2 linked regions of the Styela clava genome follow. The protein of the gene in region 1 interacts with the protein of each later gene in a biochemical or structural test. Links are inferred from orthologs where the notes say so. Each region holds a gene or a part of one and is shown on either strand. Other genes may lie near its edges. The genes, in order: general transcription factor IIE subunit 1-like and general transcription and DNA repair factor IIH helicase/translocase subunit XPB-like.

Region 1 (9,836 bases):
ATTATAATGCATTTCTATTGAAATTACCGATGAAAATAACGTCGTAATGACGTTTGTTACATTGTGCTTATTATATAAATGTTAGCCTAGCTGTTGCAAATAAACTGTTTTCATATTGAGTTTTGAGCCACCGGCCCAGTAACCAAGTCTTTTTTGTTAACTATCCCGCACAGGATAGTATTTGACTATTTGTTCACCACTGTTATAAATTATAATGCATCACATACACTGGAATCATGCAGGTCCAGAACTCCAAAACAGGGGTCTCAAACTCGCGGGGGCTAATTGCGGCTCCACACATACAAATCTATGCCTTCGGAAAGATAAACTAGTTACCTAATCCCACATCCCAACTTAACTAGTCAGCTTGTGAAGGGCGGGTTTACCAAGTGATTTTACTGCAAAATTGGTTTTCCACTCATCCTAAGATAATGAATTCCCATTTTAAATTGTAAATATAAAAGTTTTTTTTTGTATAATATAGAAGCTCCTGTATATTGTTATTGAGCTTAAAAATCACAAACATTAGTCTATTTGCTTTTCTCCTCGAACCATTATTTGGGATGGAACTTCAAAAAATCTTTTTCGAGCACCACACCCATATTTCGAGCTTCAAATAAACCAAACCTTTGTTTGCTTTCTGGTGCTCATTTTAGTATATTTTCGATATTTTTAATGTTATCAGAATTTAGGTTGTAGGCATAGGAACGCAACTAGCAGACTTCATCCCTTGAAATCTTATAAATAAAGACAACAATCTTTATAACTATTTTCAAACAAGTTTTATATTTAGTCTAGTAATCTACACTACAGAGTACAGAATATGTGATTCTACGGATAAAAAAAAACATCTAAGTAACTTTATATCAGTAAAAGATGGGGCAAATTGATTTGTTTATTTGAAGTAATTCATCCAATAATGGTCATCATATTAAACTGTTGTGAGGACAACAGCTCCTATGAATTCCAGGAACATTTACACTAAAGTTTGAGAAATTTGGTAAACGATACCAATTTTCGATTCTTAAATCACAAAAATTTTACACTGATATCAGTCTCCAATCTTGGGAAAACTGTGTGTCTTCAAAAACTTTTGATATTTACAATGCTTCTATTATGATGATAAGTATGATGAGCTTTTTTATTTTTTGTCAGAAATTTTGACTTCATCTCTTACTTTATTAAAGAGTTTAAAATTAAAATACATTTTTGGCTATGACTCCAATATTAAGGAAAACATACCAATCTTCAATTTCACAATCTTGAATCAAATCATATAGATACATATGAATTTCTATTTCAATTAGAAGGCCTAATCTATTAGCCAAAGCATTTACAACAAATCAAAAAAATTAGTTGACTTTGGATAATGTTTCCCAAATATCAACATGATAGCTTTCAATTAATGTCTTACACCGGGGAGGTTTTGTACAGTGGTGTAGAATCGATGATGTCTTCTTCATTCTCTGTTTCATTATCTTGTACATTATGTTGCCTCTCTCGATTTGATGTTGATGGTCCAGCATTTTCTTCCAGATTTATTCTTGTTTCATTTGTTGTACTTTGTCCGAATCTTTCTTTCATACTGTGTGCCATTTTTTTTTTATCTTTTCTTTTATTCCAACTTCAAGAATAGTATGATCAATTATCTGCAGGCCAGGATGATTTCGATCCTTTTGCTGAGGAAGAGTGCATGCAAGTATATGCTCTAGGGCAGTTGTCCCTCGGAGACTGTTGACACATGCAGTAACGAGAATTTCAGGGTTTTCTCCAATATCAAATTTCCTGACACCACATCCTACTTCACGCAGTCCTTCCTCAATTTCATTTTCTTCAGTTACAATGTATGAATTTAGTAATGTTACAAATATATCCCAGAGCTTATTGTCATATGCAAATCTTGCAATTTTTTTTGCTGTTTCATCCCAGTGAGTAAATAAGAGAGTTGAAAATTCCCGTTCGAGCATTGTGCATGCTAATACACATAGGAGAGGTTCCAATGGCTTTAATACTTTTTTTATATCTACTTCATTCTGCATTTGTAGACTCGCTTTTTCATGTACTTCCTCATTGATACTAAACTTACTTAAAAGTTCCTTCAGTGCTTCTTGACTTTTACTTGGCACAGGACCCCCTTCTTCGCTTTTAAGAATTAGAACTTTCAGCGATTCATAATCCTCATTACGGGTCCACATTTTGTTGTAAACTCACTCTACATACTCTGCTGCTCTGATGGTTTTATTGTCTAAACCAATAATAGGAGGAAAGGAGTACTTGTACTTAGAGTCGCAATGAATATATTTCGTTCTTCCATCTTTCATGCTTTTCAGTATAATCTTAGCCGCTTTGAAATATTTTTGATCAGATAAAGCATAGTACAAAATTGATCTGCCATCGTTATCCAATAAATCCAGATTTAGATCTTTCACAAAATTTTCACATTCATCTGTCTCTTCGAATTGATTTATAATGACAACTGTTAAAAAGCCATCTCTGTTTATTTTTGCAATATTCATTAGTTTTTTAGTATGTGGATTAGTAATTTTCAATTTTATATTTTGAAGATATTTCTCTGCAGTGTTTGCTGTTATCTTTCTTTCGCTTAATTTTTGTTCTACTTTTTCCAATATTTTCCAGTCTTCAAGATCGTTCGTGATGGAAAACAATTCAATATTTTTCTTTTTGTCAAGTGTTATGGCATCTGTATAGTGTCTAGCCGATTCTTTCAATGATTCGTCAGAAAACCAGAGTTTAACGATCTCACAAAATTTTCCAGAGCGTCCAAGATTCCCAGAAGCGAATCATAAATGTTATAAAGGGGAATGCTTTCTTTGCATAAGTTCTTAAAATTTGTATATTTTTAAAGTAATTCTCGGGGCTGTCATGTTCAGCATTCCCAGCTGTAGTTTCTTCTATTGTGAGGGGTTCTAGAAAATAGCTGTTTTGGTCAAATCTAGGGACTGCCTTATGTAAATATCTCATTTTGCACATTCCCACTATAACAAACACGAGTTGTAGCATGGTAGATGCTTAAAACCCCACCCAATAAGGAATAAGTTGTTTTGCAGTATTGTGTGAGCAAAAATAAGGTACCGGACTCCCTTCACCAGTCATTTCCAAATAGTCTAATTGAAACGGATTGCAGTGAAATGTGTTGCCATCTTTAGCCAAGAAACATACTAGTAATCCTGATATACCTATTGATAAGACGATAGCGGCAAGAAGAATCCTATTTCTTTTGTAATAAACATGTTTGATAAAAATATCGCATTCATATAAGAGTAATAAGGGCCAAGCCTCTCTCACGATGCAGTCAGACATTCTGGATAAAGGTTCTTCAACAGAGGATTGCAGTTTGTCATTTTCATCGGATAATCCTTCAATTAGCTGTTCTGCTTTTTTGAAAGTGTTGAATGAATTTATAACTCCAGGTATCTGAAGCCAATAGGCAGAAGCAATCAAAACCAGCAAGATGGAAGACAGGCCGAGAAAACCAGAATAAGTCACAAACCATGGTATCTGGTTCATACAATAGTTGTTCATTATAGCAGCATCAAGAGAGGTGCCATTTTGTACCGTCGGAACACATTTTATTTTTATAGTTTGTGTCAAATAAAACATAAAAAGGGTGGTTGCCACACTGCCTGCATAAAAATATCCTCTGATTTTTTCCCACCATGGTTTCATGTTATGTTCAGTAAGCAGATCACCCAAAAGAAAGTCACTGATTCCAAGAATTGACATTTTCAAGATTCAGTAATTCTGCGTATAAATATATTAAAAAAAATTATATGCTGAATCATTTACGTTGACACAAAAGCTTATGACATTTGCCTGAGGTTTATAAAATTTTTCTTATAGGAACGGTCAAAACTATATGGAAGATATTATAAAAAATTGAATATATTATGATTTGAATCTACTCTAACTCTGATGTACATGTTAAGGAAATTAATTTCCATCACTTGGTATTTTGCCACTAAAATTTATTACTGAATCAATCCCGTATTTTTCAGGTAATTATTTAAATACAGTCGAAAAACATTGTAGGAGTTTAGATATTTTCATCTCATTCTCTTAATCCTTGTCATGGGTTTGGATCACAGTTAACTATATTTGTATAACTCTTATATTCATTGCTTTACATCATATTTTTCATCAGTCATACTCAAAATCTCTAAATTTCACCTAAATTTTTTTACAACCCTAATCCTGCTTTTTGAAATAATATCTTTTGTGCTATATTGTTTTTGTGACAAATCGGTAATTATCCTTTCCTCTATGTACAATTAAACATTTGGAATCATGGTATATTCTGCAAGTATAATTTATCTCCATTGCTTTACATACCGGTAGTATTTTTCATCAGTAGTACTCAAAATCTAGTAATTTCAACTAAAATATTTTGCAATCCTAGGACTGCTTTCTAAAATACTTTCATGCATGCTATACTTCAAATCAATTTTAGATTGAGAGTTCTATATTAGGTGCATAGAATATATGTGAGAAAACCTCCTCGATATCAGTCAAGCAATAAAAACGTTTTTGTTGATTGTTATGGACTTCTGATTTCTAAAGAGAACTCTGTTATCAAAATCCTGTGGCTCGGTACACACCTTATATCGCACCCACTTTTTGCATCCATGGTTGAATCGAATATGTGGAAAAAATAACTCAATATCAATCAAGCGAAGTAAAAATTTCTGTTGAATGTCATTGTTTTTTGATTTCTGAAGAGTACTCTATTATCATAATTCTCAACTCGGGTCACATAAAAATGACCTAAAACCTGCGTCGCACCCACTTTTTGCATCGTTGATTTAAGCGCTAAATTCCATTTCAAAATTCCTTCTTGTTTTTATATAAAAATGGTTACATTTCTAAAACACAGGTTATAATATTTACTGAAAACGATCACCACTATTATAATGTACAAATTTTTTGATATTGAATCAATTTTGATACCACTCACACTTTGTACATTTAATTGTGAACGCCCAATGTTATTTGTATCTTTTTGTTGTTTTCAAGAAGAGTAGCAAATATAAATTGGGACTGTTTTCTAATAATAACATTTTATCTTATTTTTAAACAAGGATGTGGACAATTGTTCACGATAGCTGGGAGTTGAAAAATTTTCTTCATTGTTCTGGCATAGTCCACCGGTTATGGTTTTACTTGGGTTGTGTTTTGAGATTATTTGTGTGTTTGCATTAAACAAGGCTTCAAATGAAGAGCCACTTTTTCACATGTTATCATTTTTTCCATCACAGTGCTCTGGTGGTAATTCTGACTGGTAACTGGTAATATTTAATGTGCAATGTTGTATGTTTTCTCTCCTTCAGAATGAATGTGAATTTCCATCTTATTTGATGTCACACAACCAGCAAAATTTTAATATTTTTACTTTTTGCTTTTCAGGGGGTGCTCACACTATGTAATATAGGATAATATTTATATTCCAAATTAGAATTCTTTTCTTGAAGTCTGATTTTAAGTAAAATGTCCAACACATTAGAAAATGAATCTGAAGTTTTACGAGAAGTACCCGATGCTTTGCAGAGACTTATCAGGTTAATATTACTTAACTTTTTCAATTATCAGTTGCGTTACACAAGAATATCTACTTTTTCTTACGCTATACCTTTGCGTAAGTGGATTCATAATGCAAAGCTGCTCTGGAGTCTTGCTGTACACTAACACGAATGTAAAAATGTTACATTTGTGTTAGTCTACATCTAGACTCATGGAATTCAAACTATTTTCAAGTGTGGAAAAGTGGGACACATTATTTATTTCTCAGAGCTATACCTTCAGCTTCATGATCTTATATATTTTGTCTTCAGATATGTTGCAAGAGGATTCTATGGACTTGAACACGGCCTAGTTATCGACGTACTTGTTCGAAACGCATGTGTGAAGGAAGATGACATCCAAGTTGGTCATGTTTTTTACGAGTTACATACTTTTGTTTTTAATTAATCCTATATAGAAAGAATATAGATGTAAGGACTAGAGACTTTCTAATTTCATGAGGTCCAGTTTTTTTTTTACTCTTACGGAAGAGGGGGGGAGTGGGTTCAAACTTGCCACTTTCGACCCGTCAGTGTATTTGTGAAGGTATTCTGAACAATAATGATGATTCATCGAAAGTTGAGCCATCAGCATTCATCAATAGAAAAAAAGATTGTTTTTATGGCAACTCAATTTGGCACTCTCATATATAGGCTAATCCTTTTGTCCTTATTGATAAATTTTTCGGATTTTCATTAGTTGCACACTTGATTGGTCAAAATATACTAAGTAGTGCATAAATCGTTATATATTCCATTAATGTGATATTTGTGTCGGTGAACAAAGTTTTTTTGGGCTTTTTACTGACAACTCTGAATTTTACAATTAGAAATTTTTTTTTTAGATTTTAGATTAAGCTATCGGGGTCATCAAAATTTGTATACTGTGTTTGAAAAGTGATTATTTTTCTTTCAGGAACTTTTGAAAATGGACAAGAAACAACTACGAGCAATGTTGGTTTTTCTGAAGAATGATAAAATTTTGAAAGCAAGACTTTGCGTTGAAACTCAAGTAAAGATGATAAATAGCAATCTTGTTATTATAGGTTAAAGTGTGATATAGTGAGATTATATACCTTTCCATAGTAGGTAACTTAAAAATCATTTGCTTAGAATATATCGCGTAGAGCAGTGCTTAACAACGTGCGCAATATTGCTTCTTATGGGGGAAAAACCTGAAGGGGTGATATCGCATACTTAAAATAGTCCGAATTAACACAAAATCAAAATGAAATTCACAAACCATAGGCAGGATATATTTTTGGCAGTCATTTGACAACCCGCCTACCCAATTTAATACACCCAATGTGAGGTGTTGGGTACGGGATTACACTGAGATCTTGAACCTGTGATGCAGGCATAGTTCATTCATTCCAATGCTTCAGCCTTGGTCAGGGGTCAATGAACGAATGCAAAAAATGGTTGCATTCCACTAAAAAGGATTAAATAATTACACTTATTTTATTATAATTTATGCAGCCGCATCCGGGGATGTTTGAGAACCCAACACTAGGCCATTGTGCAATACAAATCGAGTTAATCATCTAACTGTTGTGTAAACATAAAATTATTTTTGTAAATCTTTGTTTTACAGCCAGATGGGAATGTACTTCGTCACAATTATTATTATATAAATTATAGAAGCATTTGCAACATTATTAAATATAAGGTAAATATTCTCAATTTCATTTATTTTAGATTACTTTATGTGTTATTATACATGTTATTTCAGACTAGCAAAAGTATCATTATGTAATTTTTAGCAAGTGAATTGTTTCTTTCTGGTCTTTTCGTTGAAAATTTTTTTTAATATAATGTTAAATATGTGTTGGTACTAAGACTGAAGTACTAAGACTAAGGGATTTGACGAAAAGGGAGGCGATATTTACTTTTTTGAAAAAACGGGGAGCTAATATAGTGTTTCTGCAAGAGACTCACTGTTCTGGTAAAATTGAAAATGAATCATGGTCAAAAGAGTGGGGTAGTCAATGTTTATGGACTGAATATTCCAATACCTGCAATGGGGTAGGGATCTTGATCTTGATTTCTTCAAATTTAGATATATCTTTAGGCAATATAGATATAGATGAAAATGGCCAATATATTATATGTTCATTTGAATACGATAGTTTTTTAACAATAGTAGTGAACGTTTATGCTCCAAACCTTGATTCTCAAAGGGTCAAGTTGTTCAAACTTATATATGAAAAACTAGAAACCCTGAAAGCTTCAAATTATGCATACACATGCAATTTTATATGTGGTGGTGATTTTAATTGTATTTTGGAAGATAGGGATAGGGATTCCGTCAAATGTAGAAGAAATAATAATTCCAAAAGTGAAAAAATGCTCCAAAATATTGTTACTAAATTGGATTTGATTGATATTTGGCGTGAAAGGCACTCATCCCTTTTACAATTTTCATTTCATCGCCCAGCAACCAGAAACGGGCAAAAACAATCCAAAAGCAGAATAGACAGATGGTATCTTTCGCGATTATATACTGTCAATGTAGAAAAAGTTGAAATAATTGCAGCAGCATTATCGGATCACTTACCTGTCTTTATGTGGACAGATATAGGCGAGAATATCAAACGTGGGAAAGGTTATTGGAAATTTAATAGCAACTTATTAAATTATGATTTATTTGTCACAGGGGTAGAAGTTATATTAAAGAAATGGCTAAAGCAATTAAATGAAGGACATGAAATTGATGTTCTTAAATTTTGGGAAAATTGTAAAAGAAAAATTAAGGAGTGGTCTATATATAGCGGAGAAAAGTTAGCTAAGGAAAATAGGAATATAGAAAAACAATTAATAAAAACTTATGAAGAAGCATTGTTCAAATATGAGGAAGATCAATACGATATAGAAAAAAGTCACAAGTTAATGCAGGCAAAACAAAATTTGAAAGATTTTCAAACGAATCAAGTAAAAGGAAACGCTATAAGGGCACGCATACAGTGGGCAGAATCGGGAGAAATCTCATCAAAGTATTTCTTCAATTTGGAGAAGTATCGAGGGAAATTGAAATTGATACAAGAAATTAAAAACGAAAGTGGAGAGATTGTTAGAGGTTTGAGAAACATACAAAAAGTACAACAATCTTTTTACCAAAAATTATACTCAAAAACACCAAATCTAGATGAAAATTCCCAAGATGATTTGATTTTGAAATTAAATAAAGAAGTTGATAGATTAGATAAGGAGGACATAGAACAACCAATTAAATTTGAAGAATTAGAAAACGCATTCAAAGGTATGAAATTAAACAAAGCGCCGGGCTCAGATGGTATTACAAAAAATTTTTATGCGAAATTCTGGAAAATATTTGGAAGTATATTGAAAATTGTTTTTGACAAAATAGTAATATCAGGACATATGTCAGAGTCAATGAAAACAGCTATTATCACCCTATTGTATAAAAAAGGAAATAAAAATGACCTGAATAATTGGCGACCTATATCGCTGTTAAACTTTGATTATAAGCTTTTGGCAAAAATTTTAGCTAACAGAATTAGAAACTTACTTCCAAAAATAATTCACTGTGACCAGACTGGTTTTATTCAGGGTCGTTCTATACATGAAAACATCTCATGTATTAGAGACGACATATTTTATGCTAACAGATTTGGAAAAGAATTAGTAGTGTTTTCAATAGACTGGGCCAAAGCCTATGATACTGTTGATAGAGAATTCCTTTTTAAAGTTATGAAGAAGTTTAATTTAGGTCCAAATTTTATCAATTATATAAGAATTTTATATACTAATACAAAAGCAAAAATATTAACAAATGGATATGTAGGAGAGAGTTTTGAAATGACACGTGGATTAAAACAAGGCTGTCCTCTGTCCCCATTTTTATACACTATGGTTGCGGAGGTTTTTGCAACTAATATTAGAGTAAATAGCAACATAATAGGTTTTAAGAACATTTCAGGGAATGAAGAAAAATACAAAGGGTTTGCGGATGATGCAACATTAACAGTTAGAGATTTAAAATCAGTTGGAGAGGCATTGAAAATAGTCGAAAAATTTGAAATAGCTGTAGGTACCAGGATAAATAAGGAAAAATCTCAAATATTGTTATGTGGAGATTGTCTTAAGATAAATGAAACACAGTTTCAAGGTATAGCATTAAAAAGGGATAGTTTATGTGTCCTTGGTGTCTGGATCGGCAACAATGACACGACGCAACAAAACTGGAATCCAATTATAGAAAAAATCAAAAGAGTAGTGAATATATGGAAAGCTCGAACTATG
Region 2 (10,638 bases), on another chromosome or scaffold:
AACTTACGCGGAAACGGAACCGCCACGAGGTGCGCAATTTTTCATATTGATAACGCCTTCGCATACGAAAAACGAATCCCATAGAGTCTAGAGTCGCATAGACTCATAGAGGACACAGATATTTTTGAATTACATAAAATAGCAAAAAATACAATCTTTAACCGCAAAACATTTAAAAGCAATTGGTCAGGTAGTTGAAGAGAAAAGCGATTTTTTTCATAGCAATAAGGAAAATACAAACAACAATAACAACAACATTTTAACAACACGACCCATAGGTCCACTTCTTGTCCAGAATATGTCAAAATAAAAGCAGAAGTGAAGCCTGACTAGTTTCCTACTATTCCATCGCCACACATCGATATATAAGCACTGTACTTAGATATCAGTACCACAGAGATAAAGACGATTGTAGTAGGTAGGTGCAATAAATACATCTGTATGTAGTCAAATTACCTGTGATCCGGCACGGCATTATAATACACTGATGTGAATGGTGTCCATGAACCAGCGAATATCGCAAAAATACACGAAACAAGTATGAATATTTTGTAGAAACTGAAAGTACCAAGCTGCTCTTCAAATTCGTCCAAATCCATTTGCTTATTGTCCTAACTTATTCCACAAATTCTTTATATCTTTCAACAGCGCACATTTTCATTTAACAATCAACGACTAAACAGCTGGAATAATCGGAATCGTGTGCATCCTCATATTCTACTATTTGTATGTTTTGTTTTGATCAGAGATAAATTACGCGCAGCTCAGAAATAGGCAACCAAATATATCAACTACGCAATATTGTTAGCAAAACGATTTATCACGGATTGAGCTCTGTATATTCTTAAAAATAGAATGATTGTTCGAGGCGACTGACTAGAAGCGCAGGCTGAAAAAACCATTGATGACAAATCAGAATATAAAGAATCAAAATTTCTGGAGAACAAAACTGGATTGACGAAGCATTCAATACCAAGATTTATTTCTGACTCAATTCACTAACTGAGCAACACGCTGTGCTGTAAAAAGTTATATTACACGATGTCTACGAAACCATCCTGTTACCGAGCGGAGTTCCATATAATTTCTCAACTACGATGAAATTTTCACGAGAATGACGAAGCATATTTTATATATTGAATAATGTTTACTAGATTCGTACGTGGTTTTAAAACATCCAGAACGGTTTTGTTCATATTCATAGTAAAACGATAACTGCATAGTAAAATTGACTTTACACGCACTGTAAAAATTTTAACGTTCTTTGCACGAACGCAGTTGCCTTTACTTTACAGCATTTAAATGCGATAATCTTTGATGTGGAAGTTTCCCGATTTGAAACTACGAATTCAAGAGTGTGTAGCACTGATATTGGGTCTTTGTGGTGCATTTTTATTTTGTAAAAAATTGTGAAATATAGAATAATAAAATGAACATTTCCATATCGTATAACCATCTGTAGTTGGCCTGAGTTTAGTCATGCAATGTCTATTTGAACCATTCATCAGGTAAAAATGCTCATTGGATTTCTTATTATTAAAGTTGATAATCATTGAGTATTAGTGCAATTTATACAACGTAACTTGAATAACTCTTCATAAAGCCCATGTAATTTTTCCCTTGTGTGTATAGCATTAAACACATATGACTCGTGGCTCGCCTTTCAACGGTTATATGTAATTGCAGCCACTGTGGGGAGGTGAACGGAGGGATAAAACCTAAGATCTTTAATACGTGACTTGAACATAGTGAAGTCCATGGTTCTGATTATTTGTTCGTCAATCGTCATATATATGCTTGTTCATATTTTCATAACAGTACTATACAATTTAAATGATTCTAATTTTATGACATATATATTCGGGATCTCAATTAGGACGAAGTGCCAATTCATTCCTGCAGTTATTTGATTGGGCTTTATTAGTTTATTTGAAGTTAAGTTGTGATCGTTTTTCAATAGATTAAGTCGTCACATTGATTCTCCTTTTCCTGGGACCAGTGTGAGAATATATACTAACTTCAACGGTGTATCTTAAAAGTGCTCGCCGCCATAGGGTGGTTCACGTACCTTGGTCGGTTACGGCTTCCTCTATCATCAAATCCACACATCTGAAATGAATAACTGGCTGACTAGTCCCATGGCCGACATGGGCCAGCAACCAGACAAGAAGCCGTAGTTTGCCATATATCGCTGACAAATGTCAACAGTAATATTAGGCCGAAAAGTACACTCTCAGCTTGAAGGCTTCTCAACTGTATCTCAAGTCAAATATTATCTATGTAATGTTCGTGGGGCTAGTAAACTTACCGACGCCTTTCTCCTCTCTACCAAAATATTATATCCGTGTGAATGCTGTAAACAGAAATGGATGGTTGATACTATTTTGTATATGTGTATGAATTCGTGATAGAAAGATATTTTGCAGTTGGAAACCACATATTGTCAGTTATCCAATAATTTTTTTGCAAAATCTTAAAATATTTTACAGATTAAGGCTCATTTTGAAATCTAAAACCCTTAAATAAGTATATTTTAGTTTATTTCACTCGCGTCTACAATATGGTCTACTTGGTTTCGGGCATTATATATACGTTTTGGGTTGGGGTTCAGCAACAAGGTCTTCCTTTCAGTCAATTTAAGTTCTGCGGAATAAAGTTTTAAGGTGCATGACATTTGCAGAGAAAAGTTTTAACTAATTTGCAGCTTTGTCACCAGTATGATCTCCTACGACCTACAGCTTTCAGATATGCTCGCACTATAAATTGCAAAGTTTATGCATCGGTATGAAAATGGCCTTATTCTCCCAGTCTTTATACATTATTTCACCCCATTACAAAAAGTGCATAATTACTGCACCAGATTTTAAATAAACAGGAATAATATTACTCCACAAGTGTCCACTGAGGTGGACAAAACATCTTTGAAGTATGAAACCAAAAAAAGTTCAGTGCATGTTTTCAATGAGGAACTGAAAAAGTCTTTCTTACTTAAATGCTCAAATTTGTCTTAATATCTTGATTAATAATTATCTCAATTAAAAATCCTAAGTTTAATATCTTTTAAACTTTGTTTAAAGTAAATGAGCCAAACACTGTATATAATATCATAAATTTGACTGTTTCACATTTAGACTGTGTATTGAAGATCATTGGCCTCTTTCAATTGCATTTTTTGTAAAATCATACTAAAATGTTTTCTCTTTTTTGACACAAACTACTACTATGTACTTTATTATAGTTCACCTTAAAAAACCATTGTTAATGATACTTGTACTTCCTATCTTTTATTTATTGTTTAATCTGTGATAATCCGACTTCTTCATTTTTCTCTGTGTATTTGAGCCCGTCTCGGCCCAACAAATATTTAATTACAAAAACTAATCTAAGCTTTTGATAATTTTTTCAATTTTATGGACCTGTTCGAATCTAAAACTAGGGTTGGGACCCCGGAAAATCCCGATATCCCGGGATCTGGAGTGTTTTTTTTTCAATCCCAATCCCGCAATTATTCTCTAAAAATTCCGGGGTTATAAGGCGTTATTATCCACATGTAGATATTCTCACAAATGGTAGGTTATACCATTTTATTTAATTCTTCTTTAAAAATAAAAGCCATCCACGTTTACAGTTTGAGTCAGTCAGACTAAGTGGAATTATTGTGCGAAATTTTCTCAAGTTTTACAAATGAATTATTATTTGACTAGTAGAATTGCAATTATCGCCGATTTATTTAATCATAATTTGAACTCAAAATAGCATTCAGGATTCACGCAATGACTTTGCAGGGTTTTTATTCACTATTTAATAGAAAAATAAAACAGCCACAATAGAAAAATAAAATCAAGAAGGTCAACTATCGCCTTCATGAATATCCGCATTTCGGCGTCAGAAATGATAATATTTTTAGCTTAAAATTGGGACAGTTAATTTACAAACGGTGACAAGAAAGATAAAAGCCGACCCAAAAGATAAAAATCGGAATTAAATCCCGAATTCGACAGTTCGTTAAAAGTATCCGACACGATGAAAAGATACTATTTTGCCCACCATTGAGATCTCTAATCACCCAGTAATCTGGCGAAACGCGTAGACCAAATACTGATGCAATGAAACTTAATAAAACTATTTTGCACTACTTCACGAAAGCGTGGTGGAATTGCCGATTATTTCATATCTCGAACACAAAATCTTTTTCGGATAGTTTCTGCGGTCTGAAAAGTCGAATAAGCGTTTCGACATAGTAAATGCTACGATCTTTATCATCAAATTATGCTCGGGCATTGCACGAAATTCATAACGTGAAAAGATACGTTCAGCGGTGAAAATTATAACAACTTTAAATTAAACCTATTTAGTGGTTTTAGCGATAATAATTAATTGTTGTAATGAAATACAGTTTGTTTGCCCATTTCATTCCTCTCGTAAGTGCCGACAATAATGCTATTGAAAGATTTTGGCAATGGGAGAAACATATTGAATTGTAACAAAAAAGAATTAAGTTGTGCAAAAGTGAAAATGCCTGTGATAATAATAATAATAACGGCTAACGGGGGACGCGGGAGGGCGTCAACTTTTACAATAATGTGAGGTGCTTCGAAGGCGCTCTCGTGTACATTAATGTAAGAAAACGGTTGTAATATCGGTAACTATTAACCATGTTTTCGCCTTCGGCTATCGCACTCTTTACAAGTAGAAAATGTTCGTGTTTTGTGATAGATGTGCCGCGAATATTTAAAATGCTAAATAGTGTGCCGCGACATAAAAAAAAGGGTGGGAACTACTGCCCTAGATGCTCTAATATTTCTGCGTCGGCATCACATTAAATAAATACGTGATTTTATTGTCATGCAAGTTGTTTCAATCTTTTACTTAATTTCGAAAAATTCGGGATTATACGGCTCAATCCCGGGATATCCCGATACTGAGATTTCAAAAACTGGCTCCGAAATCCCAACCCTACTTAAAACACGTGATCTATTAATATCATTACTTGCATTATTAACTGTGAAATTGCTGACTCGCACATCTAGGCTACATTTTATTTCTCCATATATTTTTTATTCGTATTTCATTGCTAATGCTATGTCTGGTTGATTTCATGTATATATACAGCAAGGGCCAGGAGCCTCGGTGACCTACCGTAACTGGTCTTGCATACTGCCCTCACAAATAATGATCAACCAATTGCTAAATTACATTTTGTGTTGCTTCAAATGTATTATAGTGTTGACATTGTTTGCGATAATAAATCTCTCTCTCGTTTTATGATCTTTGTAATTTTTTTTGGTATTAGCTGGTGAGCGGGCACATGCTATTTGTCATGTTTTAAACTTTTCTAAAGATTTTTTTTGTCCAGAATTCTCCATTTTTGATTTTGTGAGTATTATGGAGTTTTCAGAATGAATTATCTGACTATCTATAATTACATGGTTCGGCTTCCCCCTCCCCCGTGATAAATATGTAACGTTTCCTCGACCCCTGAAAGATTCTCCCTATACTTTATCATTGCAAAATTTTCAACGCTGATTTTGAGAGTGTTTTGAAGAGTTGGCGCTTACAAACTGGCTCGTATGTGCAAAGCTGTCATTTTTATTCAAAACAATAAACCACGTGCGCTTATAGGTAGTGATAGCTAATTTTATGCTAGTCTATCACAGCGTTTGCGCTATCAAATATTGATTATTGTAACTAAACTTAAGGTCCTCAGAAGACATAATGACAATTAAGTTATTTGATTTACAACTATATTTTGGAAACACAGCTAAAAACTGAAAAATAGCACGCAGAACTACCAAGAATGGGTAATGTTTGGAACCACGCTTGAATGTATATCTGAACGGAAGAATTGTATGGGCGGCGGCATAAATTCCATTTGTTACGTCGTTGGTAACTTATCGCTGATTTGTAATAGTTACGGAGATAAACAAGGAAATTTATGCTTTGGGAAGCATTCATCCAGTTGTTTTGAAATTATACTTCTTCCGCCAGTGGGCAATATAGAAACACAAATCGAAAGAAAAAAAATGAGCAGAATCGAGCATTTTCCAGTTCGCTAGTCTGTTGTTCCGCTGTGCAGTCTATGCTTATGTTTGTTGTGTTAGTCGAGCGTCAGGTTTAACGGGACTGTAGCTATTTTGATATTAAACGGATTTTTCATTCGCCTTAAACATGGGTAAAACGAAAAAAGCTAAGAAGAACAAGGTAGATAAGGTTAAAGAAGATCGTGATCCAGATTACTTCGATGAGGAATACGACGATTTTGACGACGGCGTGGGAAACGAGGATATTGCGGCTGTCCCTAATGCAGCCAAAAAGCACATTGATTCCGAGTCTTCCACCACAGTTGGCATTGAAGACAAATTTGGTGCTAAGGATTATAGAAGCCAAATGAGAATGAAAACTGACCATGCATCTCGACCTATTTATGTTGCCCCTGATGGACATATATTTTTGGAGTCATTTTCTCCAGTTTATAAACATGCTAGAGATTTTCTTATTGCAATTTCAGAGCCGATCAGCAGACCAAAATACATTCATGAGTTCCGTTTAACACCGTATTCTTTGTATGCAGCAGTAAGTGTTGGATTAGAGACTGACGATATCATTGAATACCTCAGCAGATTAAGTAAAACAACAATTCCAACGGGCATTGTTGATTTTATAAAACTTTGCACAGTCAGCTATGGCAAGGTTAAACTTGTGCTCAAACACAATCGGTACTTTGTTGAAAGTACGCATGCTGAAGTTATACAAAAATTACTAAAAGATTCGGTTATTGAAACTTGCCGAAAAAGGGATTCTGGCGATCCAGAAGTTTCTACTTTTGTTGGAAAACAGGGATTACAAGTTAATAAACCAGCGGTGAAAAATGGCGAATCTTCCAATAATAATAATAATGAAGTTTCAGATGCCGCTGAAGAAGGTGGTGTACCGAAAGACATTTATGATTTATATGATAAAATTGATGGAAATGACGATGATGAAACAGAAACATTGCAAGTTGTGTCATTTGAAATTAATCAAGATGATATTGAAACATTGCAAAAAAGATGCATTGAATTAGAATATCCCTTATTAGCGGAATACGATTTTCGAAACGACACTGTGAACCCAGATTTAAAAATGGATTTAAAACCAACAACAGTCCTGAGACCTTATCAAGAAAAAAGTCTCAGAAAAATGTTTGGCAATGGAAGAGCACGTGCGGGTGTAATTGTTCTTCCATGTGGTGCTGGAAAGACTTTAGTTGGTGTCACTGCAGCTTGTACTGTTCGAAAACGTTGCATGGTTCTGTGTACTTCTGGAGTTGCAGTTGAGCAATGGAGATCGCAATTTAAAATGTGGTCTACTGCCGATGATTCTATGATATGCAGATTTACGTCTGATGCAAAAGATAAACCCCATGGATGTGGTATTATTATTAGTACATATTCGATGATGGGACATAGTTTTAAACGATCGTGGGAGGCTGAACGAGTAATGGAATGGATAAGGAGTCAAGAATGGGGTTTGATGGTATTAGATGAAGTCCACACAATTCCTGCGAAACAGTTCCGAAGAGTTTTAACAGTTGTACAAGCACATTGCAAACTCGGACTCACTGCAACATTAGTAAGAGAAGATGACAAAATTTCAGATTTGAATTTCCTCATTGGACCAAAACTATACGAGGCAAATTGGATGGAGCTTCAAAGTGGGGGATATATTGCCAGAGTGCAATGTGCGGAAGTGTGGTGCCCCATGACTCCAGAATTTTATCGAGAATATTTGGGGTTACAATCAAGAAAGCGTATTTTGCTCTATGTTATGAATCCAAACAAGTTCAGAGCTTGTCAATATTTGGTTAAATTTCATGAGCGACGTAACGATAAAATTGTGGTATTTTCTGATAACGTATTTGCTTTAAAAGAATACGCTGTACGAATGGGAAAGCCATATATTTATGGACCAACGTCACAAGGTGAAAGAATACAGATATTACAAAACTTCATACACAATCCAAAAGTGAACACTATTTTTATTTCCAAAGTTGGTGATAACTCGATTGATCTTCCTGCTGCAAATGTATTGATACAAGTTTCATCACATGGTGGTTCTCGTAGGCAAGAAGCACAAAGATTGGGAAGAATCCTCCGAGCTAAAAAAGGCAGCTTGGCTGAAGAATACAATGCTTTTTTCTATTCACTCGTGTCACAAGATACAAAAGAAGTGGCTTATTCGACAAAAAGACAAAGTTTTTTAGTTAATCAAGGCTATGCATTTAAAGTTATCACTAAACTACAAGGCTTAGATGAAGATAAACAACTTGCATTTGGCACGAAAGAAGAACAGCACAATCTTCTTCAAAAAGTTTTAGCGGCCAGCGACCTTGATGCTGAGGAAGAGATGATGCCCGGTGAAGGTATGTCTTCATCACGACAAGGTGGAGTGAAACGTAAAACGACAATGTCATCGCTTTCTGGGGCAGATGATGCGGTGTTTCTGGAATATAAATCGAAAAGGGACAAGAAACATGACCTTTTTAAGAAATTCCGGGGTTGAATCATCTGGTGCGAAAATTAGTAATACCCGGATCCACGGACGAAAAGGGAGGATACAACGGTATAAGACTTTTCGACTGAAATGGATACTCAGCGACCAACTTCAAATTTTGATGATTTCTTCTATCTATACAAAAAAAACTTGGTTTAGCCATTGATAAAAATAATTGCTTTTTCTGCTCAGATTGTGTATTCCAGCTTATTTGCGAGTTTGGTGCTTTTTTACAATGTAATATTTGACAACGCATTTCATGCAACCTTTCCTGCATTTCATGTTACCATTATGTTCCACATATACATATAGTCCTATGGAATATTATCTCAAATATGTTGCAATTTATGTTCCAGTATAATACAGTGCATTCAGATATGTCAATTGTTTCATTTTTTTGTAAAAAACGTTATTTAAAAAAATGCATTATTGGGTACCTATTTACTGATACATAATATGACATTACTCTTACCAAGGCTATTAGTATAGTTATAGTACTGTGTTCTGGTTGACTAGGATTCTAAAATAAAATTCTTATTCGAAAATTAGTGATTGATGTTGGAATACTGCTCAATTCTCAATTTTCAATAATTGCAAATTTTATTATCAAGAAGTCATTAAAATTTTAGAAAATAATCATAGTTTGTTTGAATTTATGGAGTATCAAAAAAATATTGTCACCAATTTCTCATTGTATCTTGGATATTATATATATATCATAATTATGATTAATAATGCTGTAATGCTGATTATCCCAACATTAACCATTATTTAAATCAAACCCAATATTAAATCATTTAAAGAAGTGATTTCCTGTTAAGTTCAAACTTTTTCTAAGCTGTTGCAGTGAAGCACAACCAGAAAGTGAATTTTGATAGTAAATTTTTTATTCTCTTTGCTATGCGAATGTGCTTACATACACTGAATTTAGTTGCTAATCCTATTGTTTGCCAGTTCAGTTCTTATTCAATACCAGTGTTATTTTTCATGTACATTATAAAATCATCATAAAAAAACATATAAGTTCTCATTGAAGATAACTTCCTTATTCAAATAAAGATACAATCAAGGCTAATAATACTTTGATATTTCACACTGTTCCAGTCATTTGAGTGAAAAAAGTCCAAAATTGAAAAAAATATTCCATTTTCACAGGCTGTGATTTTGATTTTAAAATAATTAGAATCTGTATCAAATGGTGCAGTCATTCGTGGCTGCGTATTTGAGGTCGTCTCACTCAAGATGACAACAACGATGGTAGAATTTAATTTGAAATCAAATGAAAATAATGTAAGTCTTGTTTCGAATCAAGAGAAAAAAGAACATTCTGAGACAAACAAATCGGATCTATCTCCTTGCAGAATAACAATGCTGTCACGAAGAAAGAAAAGGGGCAAGTGTTAGTTATAACTTCGTTGTTTAATAAAAAAATCTATATTTTATCAAGATTTAAAATGAATATCTTGATATTATTTGAGAGATGTAAAAATTTCTGGCTTTATTCTGAAATTTGCCATTTTAATCCCAAAATTGTAATACATGTTACCTCATGGATTGAACTGTGACACATTTGTGATTTCGTTAATTCAATATCCAACTGAACTATGTCTACAATACATTTTGCCAACACTACTGGACAAGTGTAGTGAACTTATAAAAACACTTTCATATCAATTTCACACAGTAATATATCACAATTTTGTCAATAAAATAAAAATTTTAATTTTTTTCCAGCTATCGATCGTCATGGCGTATTTGCCTACTTTTATTGTTTACGCACGTTTTTCTAAGACAATATTTAGATTAATTCATTGCAGGAGGATTTATATGATATATTAAAACATGGAGAGCCCTTTAGCACTCGTTAGGTGATCATTTCCTATAACATTTATATCTAAGCATATATTTATTTTGCAGGGCGGATACCTCATCTGTTTGAACGTAGCTCCAAAAAATGGTGGAATCCGCAAATGGATTCAGAAATTCTTGAAAAACAATGTTTGGATTTCAGTCTCGAGCAAAGCATGTAAGAAAAACTTTTTATGGTTTACACAAAAGTTGGAGTCTTGCACCAATTGTCATTTACTGACCCCATCGTTTCTATAT

What was found.
Region 2: the proteins of general transcription factor IIE subunit 1-like (region 1) and general transcription and DNA repair factor IIH helicase/translocase subunit XPB-like form a complex in vitro, tested with the Homo sapiens proteins (2 studies listed by BioGRID). The link is inferred for Styela clava from reciprocal best matches to the Homo sapiens genes GTF2E1 and ERCC3.

Annotation. Positions count from the first base shown.
Region 1 is NC_135250.1:24,566,675-24,576,510, reverse strand, and holds the start of general transcription factor IIE subunit 1-like, read left to right. Parts: upstream 1-5,421; 5' UTR 5,422-5,502; coding exon 5,503-5,573; intron 5,574-5,846; coding exon 5,847-5,937; intron 5,938-6,489; coding exon 6,490-6,585; intron 6,586-7,167; coding exon 7,168-7,242; intron 7,243-9,836.
Region 2 is NC_135263.1:11,706,589-11,717,226, forward strand, and holds general transcription and DNA repair factor IIH helicase/translocase subunit XPB-like, read left to right. Parts: upstream 1-6,042; 5' UTR 6,043-6,168; coding exon 6,169-8,541; 3' UTR 8,542-9,687; downstream 9,688-10,638. Other genes in the region: organic cation transporter protein-like, read right to left, coding at 457-599; adenylate cyclase type 9-like, read left to right, coding at 9,775-9,925, 10,450-10,558. UniProt on the Homo sapiens protein: ATP-dependent 3'-5' DNA helicase/translocase. Binds dsDNA rather than ssDNA, unzipping it in a translocase rather than classical helicase activity. Component of the general transcription and DNA repair factor IIH (TFIIH) core complex.